Danio rerio: one gene and its partners. The protein of the gene in region 4 interacts with the protein of the main gene of each other region in a pairwise test. Links are inferred from orthologs where the notes say so. Each region holds a gene or a part of one and is shown on either strand. Other genes may lie near its edges. The genes, in order: fcho1, tfip11, tnfaip1 and exosc5.

Evidence for each region.
Region 1: the proteins of exosc5 (region 4) and fcho1 interact in binary tests that used the Homo sapiens proteins (3 or more experiments, as listed by UniProt). The two-hybrid records come from large-scale screens. The link is inferred for Danio rerio from reciprocal best matches to the Homo sapiens genes EXOSC5 and FCHO1.
Region 2: the proteins of exosc5 (region 4) and tfip11 interact in binary tests that used the Homo sapiens proteins (3 or more experiments, as listed by UniProt). The link is inferred for Danio rerio from reciprocal best matches to the Homo sapiens genes EXOSC5 and TFIP11.
Region 3: the proteins of exosc5 (region 4) and tnfaip1 interact in binary tests that used the Homo sapiens proteins (3 or more experiments, as listed by UniProt). The two-hybrid records come from large-scale screens. The link is inferred for Danio rerio from reciprocal best matches to the Homo sapiens genes EXOSC5 and TNFAIP1.

Annotation. Positions count from the first base shown.
Region 1 is NC_133183.1:21,920,642-21,924,984, reverse strand, and holds part of fcho1 (f-BAR domain only protein 1), read right to left. Parts: intron 2,544-4,343; coding exon 2,359-2,543; intron 620-2,358; coding exon 595-619; intron 508-594; coding exon 451-507; intron 1-450. UniProt on the Homo sapiens protein: Functions in an early step of clathrin-mediated endocytosis. Has both a membrane binding/bending activity and the ability to recruit proteins essential to the formation of functional clathrin-coated pits.
Region 2 is NC_133198.1:20,749,465-20,753,807, reverse strand, and holds the end of tfip11 (tuftelin-interacting protein 11), read left to right. Parts: intron 1-891; coding exon 892-1,135; intron 1,136-1,211; coding exon 1,212-1,354; intron 1,355-3,047; coding exon 3,048-3,213; intron 3,214-3,295; coding exon 3,296-3,657; 3' UTR 3,658-3,760; downstream 3,761-4,343. Other genes in the region: prim1 (DNA primase small subunit), read right to left, coding at 4,091-4,110. UniProt on the Homo sapiens protein: Involved in pre-mRNA splicing, specifically in spliceosome disassembly during late-stage splicing events. Intron turnover seems to proceed through reactions in two lariat-intron associated complexes termed Intron Large (IL) and Intron Small (IS).
Region 3 is NC_133190.1:23,022,289-23,027,074, forward strand, and holds the start of tnfaip1 (BTB/POZ domain-containing adapter for CUL3-mediated RhoA degradation protein 2), read left to right. Parts: upstream 1-1,361; 5' UTR 1,362-1,415; exon of another isoform or gene 1,416-1,564; intron 1,565-2,656; 5' UTR 2,657-2,769; coding exon 2,770-3,010; intron 3,011-3,089; coding exon 3,090-3,259; intron 3,260-4,786. UniProt on the Homo sapiens protein: Substrate-specific adapter of a BCR (BTB-CUL3-RBX1) E3 ubiquitin-protein ligase complex involved in regulation of cytoskeleton structure.
Region 4 is NC_133193.1:38,983,399-38,988,390, reverse strand, and holds the start of exosc5 (exosome complex component RRP46), read left to right. Parts: upstream 1-1,750; 5' UTR 1,751-1,754; coding exon 1,755-1,884; intron 1,885-2,023; coding exon 2,024-2,137; intron 2,138-4,595; coding exon 4,596-4,717; intron 4,718-4,992. Other genes in the region: bckdha (2-oxoisovalerate dehydrogenase subunit alpha, mitochondrial), read right to left, coding at 1,331-1,444. UniProt on the Homo sapiens protein: Non-catalytic component of the RNA exosome complex which has 3'->5' exoribonuclease activity and participates in a multitude of cellular RNA processing and degradation events.

The DNA of each region.
Region 1 (4,343 bases), on a different chromosome or scaffold from region 4:
TTAAGCAGTTTTGAGTAATGAGCCAGTGAGGGAAGACTAAGCCTAAACCTCTTTCTCCAAAAACAACATACACACATGCACACACTTCCACTTTTGCTATTACTGTCAAAAACCCCTGATGCAAAAATAGAACCAATTCTGAGGCTGTAATTACAGCAATTCCGCGGACCTGAGATCAGTCTGTCAATTTAAGGCAATAATGACAGAGCAGTTAGGATACTGATCCCAGGTCAGCTGGATGGCAGATTGCTGTGATTAAGGTGTCAGTCGGAGATGTGTGTTGTGGGATATTGACATCTATTAATGTGGACAGAGGAGGAGGTGGGAGACAGTGGCCATTGGAGACGGCTTACTCACAGGAACAATGCGTGAGTACTGAAAAATTGATGCTTTATGGTGTAACTCTAGCAGTCGGAGTGCAGAAATGAGCGTCTGCGGCGTGTGACTGACCTCTCTGGGGAACACTTTCCCCTTCCCCTTCAGATCGACCTGCTGAACTCGAATTTCCTGTTTCAGGAGAATATATGCATGAAAAAGAGCCCCACTAACATATATGCAGAATATGGTCATAGAGAGGAATGAAAGTGAACTCACGAGAGAGCTGCTTCTTTACTGACACCTACAGGATTAGATGAATCAAACAATGACAGGTTTGTGTTAAAGCCATGCATCATATTTGCTGTGACACTTTAAAAATAAGAAGTAATACTGTATTGATGACAATGTTGTCAAAACAACTAAAAACACCTACAAGCGCTCTATTATATATGACAGACATGTAGTTGTCACTTTGAAAAAGGATATACGCAGAAGGACTTTTAATTTTTCAGTAACCTGGGTCAAACGCTACTGGTGAAATGTATGCTGTTACAAAATCACCACGTTTAAGGTCTATTTCTTTAAAAATCAAAGATCTTTACAGCCTGATTAATATGCTATGTAAAGTGGGTCTTAGAATATGCAAGAAGCACTGCATTAAATTACATTTTTCCGCACCATGTCTTTAAAATATGAACATTTATTTTACCCCAATATTTTCAATTGAGTTTCTGTGCTATCCTGCTGATCCTGGCGGGGTATGCATGTAAAAGGTCTATTTAACTGATAATATATTTAATTATATTACAACATCTATGCTGTAAAAGGAACTGTATTAAATTTAAAAAAGGCACATTAACTATTCACTGGAAGTTTATCGGTATGGGAAAAACACCAGCTGTGTATATTGCCTATTAAACAGTACAGTATTCATCACCACTGAAGCTTTAGTTGTCAAGTGCATGTGTGTGATTATAGACTGAACGTAATATGCATGCATGTGACATAACTATTTTCATAAATTCTGCTTTTGAAGGTTACAATAAATAAAATAATAGTGTCATTTTTAAGAACCTGCCCTTGAAATCCTTTTTATGTCTATAAATAATAGTTGTGTAAATGAATGACAAAAACGCAGAAAATATTATAAAAAAAAACTTTTAAAACACATTAAAAATAATCAAGTAAATATAAAATTCATACATTTTGTGACAATAAATAAATAAATAAAATAAAATAAAATCACAATGGTCCATGACTTCATTTTGCTTTAATTATGTTTTAAAATGCTGTTCAATTAAAGGTTTCAGCATTAAATAGACATAAAACACAACCAAGATTTTAAGTTCTTATCAAAGTAAAGATCACAACCGCTGACAAGCACAGTGATCTGTTTTTCCTCAAAAGAGCTCATTTTAGGAGCCTAGAACTTAGTAAACATGTCTTTGTTTACAGAGGAGCCAGAAACATCATGTGCACTCTAACTGAAACCAAAGAATCACATTAGAGTGGTTTGTTTGCCTTGTTATGTGGAAAACAAATTAATTGGCATATGTAAAATGATTCATTTATTCTGAAACCAAAATGAGAGATTACAGAGACAATGACAGTATTATTCGACAAGTCCTGTGATCTCAATCAACATGTAATCTTAACCAACTTGTTCCATATCAGTTTTTGTTTCATATTTATATTATATAATATAATAAGCAATATTACACAAACAACGAGTGCAATATTCATTCATTTTTCCTCAACCCAGTCTGTTATTCATCAGGTGTTGCCACAACAGAATAAACCGCCAACTATTCCGCCACATGTTTTACGCAGCGGATGTCCTTCCGGCTGCAACCCAGTAAGGGGAAACACCTATACACTCTCGCATCTTAATTATTTTTGGTTTACTGTAATCAGTTACATACTGTACCCTTCTATTTATGAGACATTTTGTAAACTTAAGCACTGATATGTTGAGCAATTTTCGGTAAAAATGAATAAATGATTCGCATCACTCTTGATTTGGGCTGTTAAATCTCTTACCACTCTGTTTGGGGGCAGAGTCAACGCCCCCACTGTGGCCTTCAGCTCCTGCTCATTGGCTGCTGAGTTGCTGCGGTTGCTGCTGGCGACCGGGCGGATCTGGATGTGAAACTTCTTGGGTTCTTCGTCATCGAAATCCGAGTCACTGGAGTAAAAGTTTCCCTCCTTCTCCTCAGCAGCACAACGTAGAGAGCAACGGTGTTAAGGAGGAAATCAAGACACACACATGCACTCACACACAGATGCAAAGAGGGACAGGTGAACACTAGAAAACACTGGCTAAGACACAAATAGACACGAGTGTAAACATTTACACAAACACAGCTGTTATGAATAGTCTAGAAACAACAAGTGTAGAAATAGACATCGTATTTAGAGACCCTATAGAGTGTCATATGCTTTAAAATGGCTCATGATGAAGTCAATTAATCGGGAGCCTATAAGTGACATCTTCATCAGACAAATAGAAATGATGCAGTGGGCTGTGTATCCATCACTGTTTATTATCAGACAATGTAAGAGTCTCTGTTTCACATCCTGCTTTACTAAACCACATTTCCCGAAAATAACATCCTCTGTGTGTCTGTAATACCTTTGACACTGTGTAAAAAGGAGGGCAGATAAAAAAATATTTTCAAAAAGCTTATAGACCAGTATATGTGTATGTGAGTGAAAATCTGTTTTTACAAAACTATTTGTTGTGGTGTTGAATTTCCAGCCTTCAAACATCCTCAAAAAGCCAGGTTAAGAATCAAATAATTCCGAGTTCACACTGCATGATTTTAGCCCCAATTTTGACTCGCCGACAGGTTTTGAGAAATCGTCGACAAATGACTGAAATCACAGGCAAATCAGTGCTCTGTTCACATGAGTAACAATCACACAGTATGAACTATCAAAGGCGCGATCTGAAAGAATTGCCGATGAGTCGCCAACGCCTGTCAGCTATTTGGCATCCAAAATATCTGGTGCTGTCAACGACTCAAATCATGCCGTGTGAAATGTGTTCTGACTGAAAATAACATCAGCGATGACCTACAGCCAGTAAGAGAGCAAAGTTTGTAAGGTGCCCAAACTTCGTCTTATAAAGGGCCAAAAATCAAACTTGATTGAGAGCTGTGGGCCAAAGTTAAAGATATCAAACTGTATTAAATTAAATTTGCATATTTTTTAAAAATAACTAGAAGACGTTGCTTTAAACGTAATAAAACATGACGTGGATTAATTTTTAACGTTTTATAATGAACTTATTATAGTAAAAACATCCACAATCATATTTATAACACAATGGAGTTTAGAGCTGAATACACTAGTCGAGCTGCTCCTGCCTTTGCCTTGATTCGCTCGCCGATGTCTTGTGCATCTGCCAAGTGACAGTATTTACATTTTAAAAGTCTGATTTATTACAACGTTTAAATTAATCATTTAGTTCTAATTGGCTTTTTTGTAGCTCCTAATTTAAACAAAGTATCAAAAGGTTACATTCAATTCGAAATGACACCTCTGTCAAAGGCATTCGCCTCCAACCAACTCCCCATTGTTTTCCCTCACTTTTCAGAAGGTATGGCGGGCCAAACCAAAGGTTACCATGGGCCAACTCTGCCCCACGGGCCCTACTTTGGCCACCTCAGCTCTATACAACAATACCTTTTTTTGTATTAAATGAATATTCCAAAATAAAGATTGGATCCATTAAAAATTAAATTGTGCAATATTTTAAGAGGTGCACAATTTAAACTTGACAATCTGACAATTATTAAAGGGGATATTTGCCATTCAGTATTTCTTTGAACAATGTTACATTTATTTTACATACAGTATAATAATATATATAATAGAACATATATTACACTTAACAAATAAAGCCAGTGCTGTTGCTATTTGTATTGACTTACCTAAATGCAGTTGTTGTTTTTTTTATTATCCAAGGTGTTTTAGCCCAAACTATCAAATGGTTTTGTGTTAGCATGATGTACACACCAGCC
Region 2 (4,343 bases), on a different chromosome or scaffold from region 4:
ACAAGCATCAAAAAGCATGAAAAAGGCCATTAAATCTAGCATGGCGTTAAACACAAATTTAATACATTGGCATTTGTACAATTTTAACATGTAGATGTATGACTGTCTACGTTTAAATTCATATTTACTAATATTTTAGATCTCTCTGAAAAGAATCCGCAATAAAGTCATAATTCAGGGCGCATATTCAAAAAAGAGAATTATTGATGTAAGTATTTTCTTTGAATAAATATTTTTAAATGCTTTTAAATATTTGTAAATATTTTAAATGATAGAGAATGGCCAAATTTATATTTATAGAACATATGTGCAAATGTTTTATTCTAGCCATTAAAAAAAATAAATTAATAAATATTTAAAAACTAATTTCTAACCATATAAGAACTTTGTGACTTAGGAGTCCTCTTCACTACTCCTAATGTTTCATTAATTTAGGAGCTAGTGTTTTGAAAAAGCTTTTGTGAAATACTATGAGTGAAATGTTGGAGTCCTAAATTTAGGACAGAAACTCCATTTAAATCTATTATTTAGAAGTAAGATTCTCTCCTAAATCATCAAGTTAAGAGCTCCTTTTAGCTTTAAGATGTCAGTATGACAATAAATTGTCAAAAATGTTTTTTGCAAAAAAACAAAACTTAATTTTTAGTGCCTGTTGAATGATGATGAATTTGACCACATGAATGTCAACACTACAAAACGGTCCGATTTTATGTGTTCTCAACTACCTTTGGATGTGGACGAAAGTGGAAAATCTTAAAACATTTTAGTCTTTGTCTACACCTGTATAAAGCCATGTCCACCTGTGATCAGAATGATGAAAACATCCTAATACCAGATGTAAACAGAACCAAGTGTTTCTATAAAGATGTAACTTTTTTTTTTTTTAAATAGGTGGACAACTGGAACCCACTGACCGACACAGTGCCCATTCATTCATGGATTCATCCCTGGCTACCTCTTATGCAAACCCGTCTTGAGCCGCTGTATGCACCCATCCGTAGTAAACTAGCCCATGCTCTGCAGCGCTGGCACCCCAGCGATTCCTCCGCCAGACTCATTCTGCAACCCTGGAGAGATGTCTTCACACCCGGCGCCTGGGAGGCCTTCATGGTCAAAAATATTGTCCCCAAACTGGGTATGTGCTTTTTTGCTAGACTGTCAGACTTTGGGAGACTTGGATGGCATGTGAAGGTTTTTCTCCTGTGTTTCAGCTTTGTGTTTAGGAGAGCTAGTGGTCAATCCTCATCAGCAGTTGCTCGATCCATTTAACTGGGTGATGGACTGGGAATGTATGCTCTCTGTCTCTTCCATGGTCGGACTCCTGGATAAAAATTTCTTCCCCAAATGGCTACAGGTCAGCCTTACAGAGTTTTACAGTTATGCCTGTTTCACATTGTAAGCGAGAGCAGAGCATAAGCAGCACGTGCACAGAGCAGATTGAGAGCAGATGTAGCGCACAGGCGTTTGCCTTTCACAGTAGCTCTGTCAGCAGCACGCAGTGCATCAGCAGTTATTGCACTGTTTAAGTTGTTTAAGTTCATTTAATTGAATATATAAAAATCTGGGGACATTATCGATGCATTTATTGGGTAAAATTGCTACTTTTTACGGTCATTCAATGTGTTTTTGGTCGTTATCAATCCACTGTCACTTTAATTGAGCGTGAGCAGCATGGCAAAAATAGACCCAGCACTGAAACTATCGCTCACGCTCCACGCTGACATGCTGCTTCTGCGTGCAGTATGAAAGCTCTAATCTGTTAACATGGACGCCGAAAAAACACGCGCTGCTTAAGCTCTGCTCGCGGTGTGAAAGATGGGTTAGTCAGTGTAATGCATTAGCATAGCTTGTATTTCTTTGGGATTGGGACAAAACATGAAAGACTGTTGTGTACTGTTGGGGATGTTTTCATTCACTCTGTGGTGCTTTTTGAGTCGTAAGTTGGCCAAAACTTTGTCTGTGTTACAACAAATGGAATCATTTTTGGTGACAAATTTTTTGACACATATTTTGGGAAAATGCTTTGAAAATGTTTAAAAATACACCTTGGGAAAATTTGCTACCCTTTCATTATTTCTGTTTCTGTTTTTTCCTATTGACTTACATTATAATCATATTTTTGCAAAGCCAAAAATTGCAAAGCCATGACACCATATAATCATGCATTCTTAATTGTTGTTGGTGGTTTTCCCCTCTTGGAAAGAGGTGCAATTTAATTTTTTTACTGTTGATCATTAATTGAAGAGCAAAAAAAAAGCTCAGTTTCTGTCTTCTATACTAGTGTGTGTGAGAGAGACACCTTTGCACATTTTTCTTAATATGTTTGAGAAAATCAAAATAAGCAGCTCAGCTCTCAGAAAATAGTAAACATATTAAGAGTATTTATACACACACACACACACACACACACAATAATCTAAACAATAATTTTTTGCACATGCCTATCTAAAGTGTTAATGCTGCCAACTGATGTTCATCAGTAAAAATGACACATTTACCTTATCCCAACAGGGTAAACCACCAACAATCAAGAATGCATGATTATATGGTGTCATGGCTTCGCAACAAAATAAAAATGTAATTATAATGGAAGTCAATGATGCTAAAACAGCCACAAACATAACAAAAGGGCAGTATACTCGAAAAGTACACAAAGGTTAAGAATGTTTTTAGCTCGGATAGTTCACTCAAATAAAACTTTCATCCAAGATGTAGGAAGGCATGGGATGATAATTGTTTTCAAAGTAAGCTGCGGTTTGGAAAAGTTAAGGTTTTAAAACCGTCAACATTTTCTGCTGCACAGTAATCACAATACTGTCAAACCGGGATATTTTTATCCAAGGTTATTATACCGTCAGAATCTTATACCAGCTCATGCCTAAATGTAGGTGCCATTTTCGTCTTTAAACACTAAAGAGTAAAAGAGAACATTAAAGAGTTCTAGCTGATAAAAGTAGTCATTAAATGCCATGGCTCCGGATGACACACTGATGTTTTGTAGGCACTCCTACTACATTTGTTCACGGTTTCTTTGTCTCCTATTGCAGGTGTTGTGCTCTTGGCTCAGTAATAACCCAAACTATGAGGAGATCACTAAATGGTATCTGGGCTGGAAGGGCTTGCTCTCAGAGAACCTGCTCAGTCACCCATTAGTCAAAGAAAAACTCAACGAAGCCCTCGACATCATGAACCGTGCCGTTGCTTCTGGACTCGGTCAGTCACATGCTAAAAAAATAATGTTCACTTAATTCATCCATTCTACCTTCAACTTCTCATACATTTGCTGTCCTTGCAGGGGGTTATATGCAACCTGGAGCAAGAGAGAACATTGCATACCTGATTCAGACAGAGAGAAGGAAGGATTTCCAATGCGAGCTTCAGCCAGAGCGGCGCGAAGTGGACAATTCTGCCACACGGCCACCAGGAATGGCAGCGGTGCCAGCATCTGTACCGACCAACTTTAAAGATCTAGTACAGGCCAAGGCCGAAGAGAACGGCATCGTCTTTATGCCACTGGTAGCCAAACGGCACATGGGCAAACAGCTATTCACATTTGGCAGAATAGTCATCTACATCGAGCGTGGAGTGGTGTTTGTCCAAGGTGAGAAAACCTGGGTTCCAACATCACTACAGAGTCTTATTGACATGGCCAAATGAGGCGGAGGTTTGAATATTGCTCTCTAATCTAGTTCTGTGTTGCTTTAAACTGTTTGTCTATCAATATTGTTTATACTGCTGAATAAACTTGTGCTTTAATTAATGGTTGATCGTTTCATTCAGCTACCGCCTACTGATGTGTCACATTTCATTTTAATCAGACTAATATAGGAAGAGATTTTTATTTTATACAAATTTTTATTGTGTATTTCTGTTTAATAAGCTGGTGGAAAAAATAGTGAAAACTAAATCTGATTTACAATTGAAAAAGGAAATATTTCTATTAGAAAAGTAAAGGAGCAGTTATTACAGAAAAATAAATGGCATTGTTTCATACATCATTTGATCCCTCAAGATATGGTTCAGAGAAGTAAAGTGTCCATCTCTTCAGAAGCAGATGGGCTGTTGTTATTGATGTCACAGCTCTTCTGCCTTAAAAATCCTTCTGAAGATCTGCAAAAATCAAATACAACAATTACATTGTGCAGCCAGTCATTATTTTGAACTATGGCCAATTACAAATTTCTGGACTTTATTTTATGAATAAAAAAAGACCCTAAAGACAAACCAAATCATTTAGGTCACAGGTGTCAAACTCAGTTCCAAAAGGGCCGCAGCTCTGCACAGTTTAGTTCCAACCCTAATTAAACACACCTGATCAAACTAATTGAGTCCTTCAGGCTTGT
Region 3 (4,786 bases), on a different chromosome or scaffold from region 4:
AATTGAGAGTATTTGTAATCCAACTCTGTTTTAATCTTTTGGCCAATTTATTGTGCTAATTATATACATTTAATATATTATTATAATATTTAAAATGATACACATTTGCTTGCTGAATATATAACCAAAGTCATAGCTCATATGTCACACACATAACACAATGTTGCCTGACTTCATTCAAACCACACCAGCACCTGTCAACCTTTCCTAACTACTGAAGAATCCAGCCACTTCTTGTCGTTCATTCATCGCCATATTACAGTAGTTACATGTCAGAATGTAAAAACGCAGGTCAGTTTCCATAACGGAATGACCGGCTTTCTGAATTTTTCCTGTCATGCAGGAATGTCAGGCGGTCAAATGAAGCTCTCACCTGGCTCTTCTGCTGCTGCTGAAGCCTTTCCTGCAGTATCGCCTGTGCCAGTCCCCCTGTTGCGCTGCTACTGGACGTGTCAGCGGATAAAGGCCGGACGACATCCAGCAGCGGAGGGGCCGTGGAGCAACGGGCCCCCTGCCTCAGTCTGAGCAGGCCCCGGCTCGCCCGGACACACATGGGATACACAGACACCGCCGACATCTTGAATATGATGCAGTTCGTACCCGGAGCGCGAGTGGAAAGGACAAACGATTTTGATTGGTTACGTCTATTGTGATTGGCAGGTGCAGAGAGCCAATCGAGTCTGTCGACTATTCCGTAAAGGCGGGTATTTTAATGTCGTCACGGGCTGCGTCAAAAGCAGCTAAAAGTCCCAATATTTTTTTTATTAGGAATGTTATTTTAACAGTGTTTGTTTTTATTAATTATTATATGTGTTCTATAAAGGCTAAGATGTAGAGGTAGAATAACAGTACAAAAACGGAGATTCACATTGTATGTTGCAATAATTCGAGAACATACAATGTCATTTTGGGTATACAATTCAAAATAAAAGTCTACTTATGAAATTGTTACAACTTGTGGTGTTAAGTTAAAACCATGGGTAAACATAAATATAGCTATATTAATATTAATTAGCTATCAAATGAAGAAGTTTTTAAATCTAAATATTACTTTTTTTAAAGTATTACTTTGTAATCTTTTTCTATATATGCTATACATAATATAAATCGCCTTTTATATATTCCATTTACTGTATATATGATATCTATACTATATATACTTATTACCATTTTGTTTGCTTTGCGTATTCATATTGTTTACATTTGTAAGTCGCTTTAGATTAAAGCATTTGTCTAAATAAAAATAAAACCTAGCATAAATGTACATTTTTTTAATCTCAGGGCTTTATCTTTTGTTGACTGTCCCTGCACTAGCCAATGGGTGGCAGTAGATCATTAATACGGTTTAACCTGTTGCTGTTGATCTTTCAACGAAGAAGAGCCATCCATCACATTTGTTAGCCATCGCCCTGAAGGTAGATGTGAAAGGTATTTTCCCTGTTTTTAAATGGTCTGATAGAACTGTTTATGCGTTTCTTTTTCAAATATGGTTGAAGTAAAACAGCGGAGTTGAAGAACTGTCGACTTCAGTTACTCGCCGACGAGTTATACTGCGGCAGAGCGGGTGAGTTTTACGCGTCGAAAAGTTTTTTCATGGTAATAACCTGTTCTAAACTTTGTTGTTTTGAATTAAATAAGCTGAAGTATTTTAAAACTAGCATTAACCCTAACTAAAGCTCTGAGGTGTTTTGTTATTGCGCCTTTTAGTCGTGAAATTAGCACAATAGAAACATTAGCAGAAACGTTTGCTCAAAAGCGTTGCCAATCTGTAAAACACACAAGATCAAGATTTTCTTTAAACTAAAAGAATTTAATATATTGTCAATAAAGATATACACAATGTGAACTGAATATTTGGCAAGTTTAAATTTGTTATCATGGCCAGTTGTAAATAAATATCAATTTATTTTAAGTAGCCTCCATGTTTTTCACTGACTTGTGTGAGGAGAAATGTTTAAATTTCAGGTCTGTTTTGGACAAAGAATTGTTATCATAAACAGTTGGAATTCATTATGTTTCAACTTTGCAACCCTGATGTTACTTCTTCTTTATCCCTTTTTTATTGATATAAAATGTATTTTCAAATTGCACTTGAACTATTCTGAATATGTAATTGTATGAAATTAAGATTGTTTAATCTGCAAATTATGATGATTAACCTCATTTAAATTTAATTATTTTGAATTTATAACTCACAATTGCTCAAACAGTTCAAGAATAGTGTAAAGTGTCTGTAAAGTGACCAATTTTCAATATGTCTTAATTCTTATTTTAAAAAATAAATTGTTTTTCTTTGGGGTCTTTAAAGTTCTTGAAAAAGTGTAGTTTCTTTAGTAATAACTGTATTTATATATGTATGTTGATTTATTTTTCTGTAAACATGTATATTTTCATTTCATTTAAATTAAATTTAGATTTTGACTTCTAACAATTCTGAAAAAAAAATTGTAGAAGTAAAACAATTATAGCATCATATACTGTCACCTTTTTAAAAACATTTTTGGGTCATATGGTCCACTTGTTTTAAATATTCACAATTTCAAAATTAACCAAAATAATCACAATTGTTTTTTTTTTTTTTTCATGTTCAAGCAGGGTCAAAAAAGGCACCCACATATGTAATAAGTGTTCAAAAGATCCTTCTGTATTGCTTTAGTTAATGTGTAGCATGTAGGTTTGGCATCACGATCAGCCTGGCCAGCAGCATTCACCACGGCAGGGGAAATCAGACCCATCGTGTGCAGGGTGGTTATCTACCTACAGAGGGACATGTCAGGAGAGAGCTGCCTGCACCAGCTTCAGCCACACACCGGGCCCATCCTGCCAGTCTCTTCAGTGGGCTGCCCCAAGACTAACACCTGCACCTACCGTGGTGTGACCGGAAATAAGTACGTTCAGCTCAATGTTGGTGGAAATCTGTACTACTCCACACTGCAGGTGCTCACTAGACAGGACACCCTGCTGAGATCCATGTTCAGCGGCAAGATGGAGGTGCTCACAGATAAGGAAGGTGAGTTATTTAAACAGCCCTGAGAGAAGATGCAACCTCTTCAGCCTTGGCTCAATGTGGTTTTTTTTTTTTTTTTTAGGTTGGATCCTAATAGATCGCTGTGGGAAACACTTTGGCTCCATTCTCAGCTATCTCCGTGATGGATTTGTGAATTTGCCAAAAAGCAGACAGAGCATCATGGAGCTCCTAGCAGAGGCCAAGTATTACCAGATTCAGGGCTTGATAGACTTGTGCCAGAAGGAGCTACAGGTTGGTTAAGTCACATAAAACCTCCTTTTTAATAGGCTATACACTTGTATTGGCCTAGTTTACATCTGGTATTAAAGGGGACCTATTATGCCCCTTTTTAAAAGATGTAAACTAAGACTCTGATGTCTCTTTAGTGTGTATGTGAAGTTTCTGCTCTAAATACCCCACAGATAATGTTTTATAACTCCTTAAAACTGTCTCTTTTAGGCTTTGATTGTAATTGTGCTGCTTTGGTGACTGTCGCTTTAAATTCAAATGAGGCAGGGCTTTCCCCCTCTGATGACATGTACAAAGGGAGAAGGTCAATTAAAATCTATTTTTATGAAGTGTGATTATAAAAAACAAAATGAATATATTTTTTTATTAGAAGCTGGTTATGTTCATAAACCTCTCATTAAAGTGATTTTTGTATAATAGGTTCCCTTTAAAGTTTCCGTGAAGTGCTTTGAAACATGCATTTGTGTTTGACGTGGGACATAATTTGAACTAAAACATAAAAACAGGGTGGGACCGTGTAGTGCCCTTCTTCTTAAAAAAAAAAAAAAAAAAAAAAAAAAAAAAAGCATTTTGTTTTTTCACAGCTCTGCCAGTGAGAGCAATAGTGCCTCAAGGGGGAGATTCCAATAATAAGGGGGCATAAGATGTCAGATGTGTACTAGAAAGCATTTGATTGGTCATAAGATTTGATGAAACAGTGAGCTGGGGTCCGTTCTTCGTATGTGGATTACTCAATTAGCAGGATTTGGATGTTGACGATTTGACGTGATCCAGGATCGTTTCGTTCTTCAAAACTCATCTGAGATTTGTTGTCATAGTAACAGTTGGTAGCTCAAACCTGCGTAGGAGCAGGCTCATTCATATAAACATGATTAGATTGGGTCAGTTCAAGCAAAGATAATATTGAAAGTATCTACCAAATGCTGATATTTTCTTACAGTAGTAGTTATATACACTTGGGAAAATAAAATCTATATATTAATAACATTTTTGCAATCTGCACTTCGAAATAAAAGTAAAAGACTGCCACCTGGTGGTTCAAAGAGAACATTTATTGATATTAACTTTTTAGATGCAAACGCATACATGCACATTATTCAACTTTTATAAAAAAAAAAATTTAAAAAAGGATAATAATTTATGCGGTCAAGCACGTGCTTTGATCACTAATATGCTGGTGATTGACAACTTTACAGTTATCAAAATGCTTTTTTGATGCAAAATTAATTTATACAGTTATTCCTTACACCAATTAACTTGAGTAGGCCAAGGCTACTATAATAAATAAAATCTCCTCTAAATGTAGAACTATATACATTGATATGCATTGAAATACATAATGAATACTCTTGACACATAAAAGTCTAAAGCCTGCAGCTCACAACAATCGTGGAAAGTTATTGCGTGTCATATTTAACAAACCGTTTACTGCTAATTTGATGTAATTTTGCTCACATGGATGATTGAATATTAATCAGATGATGTCATCACGCTGCTGTGCCGTCAGCCAATTGTTGCATTGCTGATCAT
Region 4 (4,992 bases):
TGACTGTACAAAAAAAAAAAAAAAACAATACAGAAGCTTAGCTACTTGTCCTGATGGGTAGCTTTGTAGGTTATCAAGGTTTCTACAGGTTTCTCAAAGTCAAATTTAAGACTTTTTAAGACCTTTTTAAGACCCTTATGAATGAAATTTCAGACTTGTACAGGACTAAACCGTAAAGATTTGTGCTTGCCTCATTAAAAAAAAATCTAATTACTTAATACTTAAATGTGTCAAAACAAGCAAACCATACATACTTTTCTTTGACAAGCTTTAAAAACTTTATTAACCTAAATGTACAATAGTCTTTTTAAGGTCAGTGTCCCCGCCACATATGGTCTACAAATCCCCGGAGAACATAAAAAAGTTATTATGAGGAACCATATTGTTAAATAGAGTTTTGTTAAAAGTTTTATTGGGGTGTGTTATTGGTGAGTGTATACTGTATACAGGTGTTGGCCTGATTTGGGAAGCTTTACATGGATATTAGAAAATTACAACCTATTTGTAATGATTTAAGACCTACAATTCAATATTTCAGCAAATTTAGAACTTTTTAAGGACTAAAATTTTATTTTGAAAATGTAAAACATTTTAAGACTCTGTGGATACCCTGTCAAAGTAACTTCCCCAAAAACTGGCAGGGAATAAAGTGAATTACCCTAAGCTAGGGATGTACACTGCATAAAAAGTTAATTCTCTTTAAATTTGTGTGTATGTGGTTTGCATATTGATAAAGTCACATATTCGCATGAGAAGAATTTACTATCACCTGTAATTTAAATGTGCACAAGACATTAGCTCATAATTAAGATCCACTTTAAATATGAAACAATTTAATAATGCAAATAAGTTGTAAAATGTAAAGATTTTTTAATGACCCATAACAGTCAGGATTAGTGTTGTTTTTTTCATCCACACGCCCCCTTCAACTAGCCAATCAGCTCTGAGTATAAATCCACAGACATGTGAAGGTTGAAGGATCCATTAACTGTTACCTACAACAATCTTCAGACATCTGACCACTAGTTATTGCATTTAAAACAATCATGACCATGTGACATTGAGCACTATTTCTTTTGTAGGTCAGATGAGGAACACCTAACTTATACATTAGCATTTACATTATTAAGACAGTTCAGTAGCTTTTATGTTTGAAACTAGCATAAAACGTCTTTATACAGATGTTGTTAATATTAGTCTCATACAATTCTAGGAAATGTTTTCGGTCTCCCACGGCTACACACACTTCATACAACCTGAATGGCAAGTTTTGCTAATGTTAAAAGTCCGTTGGTGGCGTATATGCAGCTGCCATAAACGTAAGACTTACATTGACGCGGAATCCCCTTTGTTGGAGAAGCGTTGTTGCTTTTAATGCTGTGTTTTGACGAATTGCATGAAGCCCAATGCCATATAATTTCTTCACAGCTCTAGCAGCCGCCATCTTTACGTCAAGTGCGTGTCTCTAGCGTCTTTTCCCTCCTCGTCTCTGGAAATCCAACACACTGCGCCCCCTACAGGAAAAATGTTACTCCTCATTTTTACGGTTTTGTCTGAGAAATGTATCCTTTTATGTACATTTTAAATTTGATTGGGGTCACGGTAGTGTGTATAACTAAAAGGAACAAGCAGAAACGTGCTTATAAAGTCGCTATACATGTGTCATTACATCCTTAATTCCGTTAGAGGGCGTAAGTGCACTGCTAACATGTGTCATGTCGTCATTATTGTGCGCTCAAAACAATGACCCATTTATGGATGCGACGAGCAGATTGTGCATGAGGACCGAGATGGAGCTGGAGCGAAGTTGTCCAGTTTTAAGAGAATATGGAAGTGAACAGAGTTTGTTATCAAGACCTGACGGGTCGTCCACGTTTGTACAAGGTAATTTATAAATGTTTAATGTAATTTATTTCTTTACTCATGTCATAGCAGTTATTTATCTGTCAGGCCAAAGAATATCCAGAGATCTATTCCATTCATTTAAATATGTATCGTTTTGAATTTGTAAATGTGTTTTTAGGGGACACGAGTATCCTGGCTGGAGTTTATGGACCAGCTGAGGTTAAAGTCAGCAAGGAAATATATGATCGGGCAACTGTAGAGGTCCTTATACAGCCCAAAATGGGGCTTCCAAGTATGTTTTTAAACAGTTTTATTTGCAGCCATATTTTGACAGTAATTGCATTATTTATTAATATTTTTTAATAAAAACGTGTACATGCAAATATATATATTTAATCGCGTCATTGGAATGGAGTTTAGTTTTAATTAATTTAATGTTATATGTCATGTTATGACAATATTACAAATTTATAAAAAATTACCTTTATCTTCAACAAATCAACATATTTGAAAGATTTTTTCAACACATTTCTAAACATATTAGTTGTAATAACTCATTTCTAAAAATGGATTTATCTTATCTTTGCCATGATGACAGTAAATAATATTTGACTAGATATTTTTCAAGACACTTTTATCCAGCTTAAAGTGACATTTAAAGGCTTAACTAGGTTAATTTGGTTAACTAGGCAGGTTAGGATAATTAGGCAAGTTATTGTATAACGATAGTTTTTTCTGAAGATTATCAAAAACAAAAAAAAACAAAAAAAAAAAAAAAAAAACAAAGAGACTAATAATTTTGATCTTAAAATTGTTTTAAATAATTTAAAAACTGCTTTTATTCTTGCCGAAATAAAACAAATAAGACTTTCTCCAGAAGAAAAAATATTATCAGACATACTGTGAAATCTGTTAAACTTCATTTGGGAAATATTTTTAAAAACAATCAAATGGGGGTTAATAGTTCTGACTTCAACTGTACATTTACACTACTGGTCAAAATTTTGGGGTCAGTAGGATTTTTAAATGTTTTAAAATAAGCTTGTTCTGCTCACCAAAGCTGCATTTATTTAAACAAAAATACAGGACATATAGGACAATTGTGATATGTTATTGCACTATAAAATAATAAATTATATTTTATATAAAATCATTTATTCCAGTGATTTTACACATAAATTGTCAGCTTCCTTTAGTCTTCAGAGTCATGTGATCTTTCAGTAATCGCTCTGATATAAATTGTTATTATTATTGCTGTTATTATGGGGGTAATGGTAATAGTAATAAAAGTAGTAAAGTCTGGAATAATAACTTCATTTGAAACTACACACAATAAGAAAGCAGTTATTAATTAATTTTTTTTATTTTTTTTTACTTAATAAATGCTGCCTTGATGAACAGAATCATTTTCTTTAAAAAAATCGATATGAAAAAGTGTGTGAGATCTACATGTCTACATGTATATTCATCTATTTATTTTTTGCTTTGTATTATTATCATTGCACTGATGTTGGATTAACTTAAATCTGTCTGCATTTAGCATATCAGCTATAATGTGAAAGACTGATACAGATAATTAATAATTAAATAATAGAAACGCATTGCACATCTTTTGAACAATCTAAAGTTTTTACAAAATAACAAAATACAATATATATACAAATATCAGGCATGAATCTTTTATGTGCATTATGCCAGTTGTGCACTGGAAAAGCAGCTGGTGTGCACCATTAGTTTGGGTTAGTTTGGGATAAAACATCTTTCTTGTTCAAAAAAAAAAAAAAAGATTTAGTTTTTTTTTTTTTAAAGCAGAAATATGTATAATTTACAGATAGCAAACTGCACTGGCTTTTTTCGGTTATTTCAGGAAAGTTCTATTATAGCAAAATTGTTTAGTGTTATTAAAAGAAAATCCCCTAATCACCTTTGAACATTGTCATATTGCTTTTTTTTGTCTTAAAACGTGCCTCTCTTAAAATGTTAGACATTTGAATTTTGAATGGATCCAATCTATATTCAGTTCAATGAATTTAACTGAGTAAAAAGTAGCTTGTACTGTATGCAGATGACTAATATTTTGATATATTGGCATGCATTTCTAAAACATTTCATTGTTTCTTAAGTATGTGAAGTTGTTGGACACATTTCCTTCTGCTTTTTTGAATTGATTTATTCAAAACTGTTGGACTTATTTACAGTATTTAAGGCAAGTATGTTAGAAGTAACTGCAATTAAATTACCCATCCATGAAAAGTAACCTACTACTTTACATTTTCAGTACAAAAGTAATTACAGTAACACGTTACTTTGTAATTAATTACACCTAATATGTCCCAGACCAAACACTAGCCACTTTGTTACTAGTTACTAATTACACCCAATATAACACAGACTAATGCAACATAAATATGAATTGTTTGTCACTTTTTTATTTAATATAATATAAGAAACAATTACCTACATGAGTATAAACTGTTTAAAGGGAGTCTTAAAACTACATGTCAGGAAGAAAATGTTATGCCATAAAAAATGTGTGTCGTTTATGTAAATTGTTTTTATTTAGTCAGTGTTTTATTATTACTAATTATTATTATTATTAATGTTTAATAATACACATATACAGCTCATACTAGAATAGTAAACATAGTTATAATTGCATGGCCTGCACAGCCATGTTTCAGCATTAGGTGTCAGTCTGGTACAGTATTTTTTTAAACTTCCTCATACTGTGGTGCGATGTGTTGTGTTAGGTGTCCGCGAGCGAGCGAGAGAGCAGTGTGTCCGTGAGACTTGTGAAGCTGCCCTTCTGTTGACCCTTCATCCACGCTCTTCTCTCACGGTCATCCTGCAGGTCGTCCACGATGATGGATCTGTATCCTCAACACCAGCAAAACTCTTCTTTATAAATGCAAAATGAAGAGGGGGCAAATATGATGTGTCCGTGGTTTTATTGTTTGAACTTTTTAGTCACTTACCGTTGAAGGGAGGAGTTTGTTTTGAATATTTAGGGTTGAGTATTAAAGATTAGTATGTTTTATTACAATGAATGTATTAAAACGAAAAAAGTGGCAATATAGACTAAACGTACAAAAAAATTGAAGATTTGAATAATTGGCTTCTTTTAATACTCTTCAATTTTATTATGTT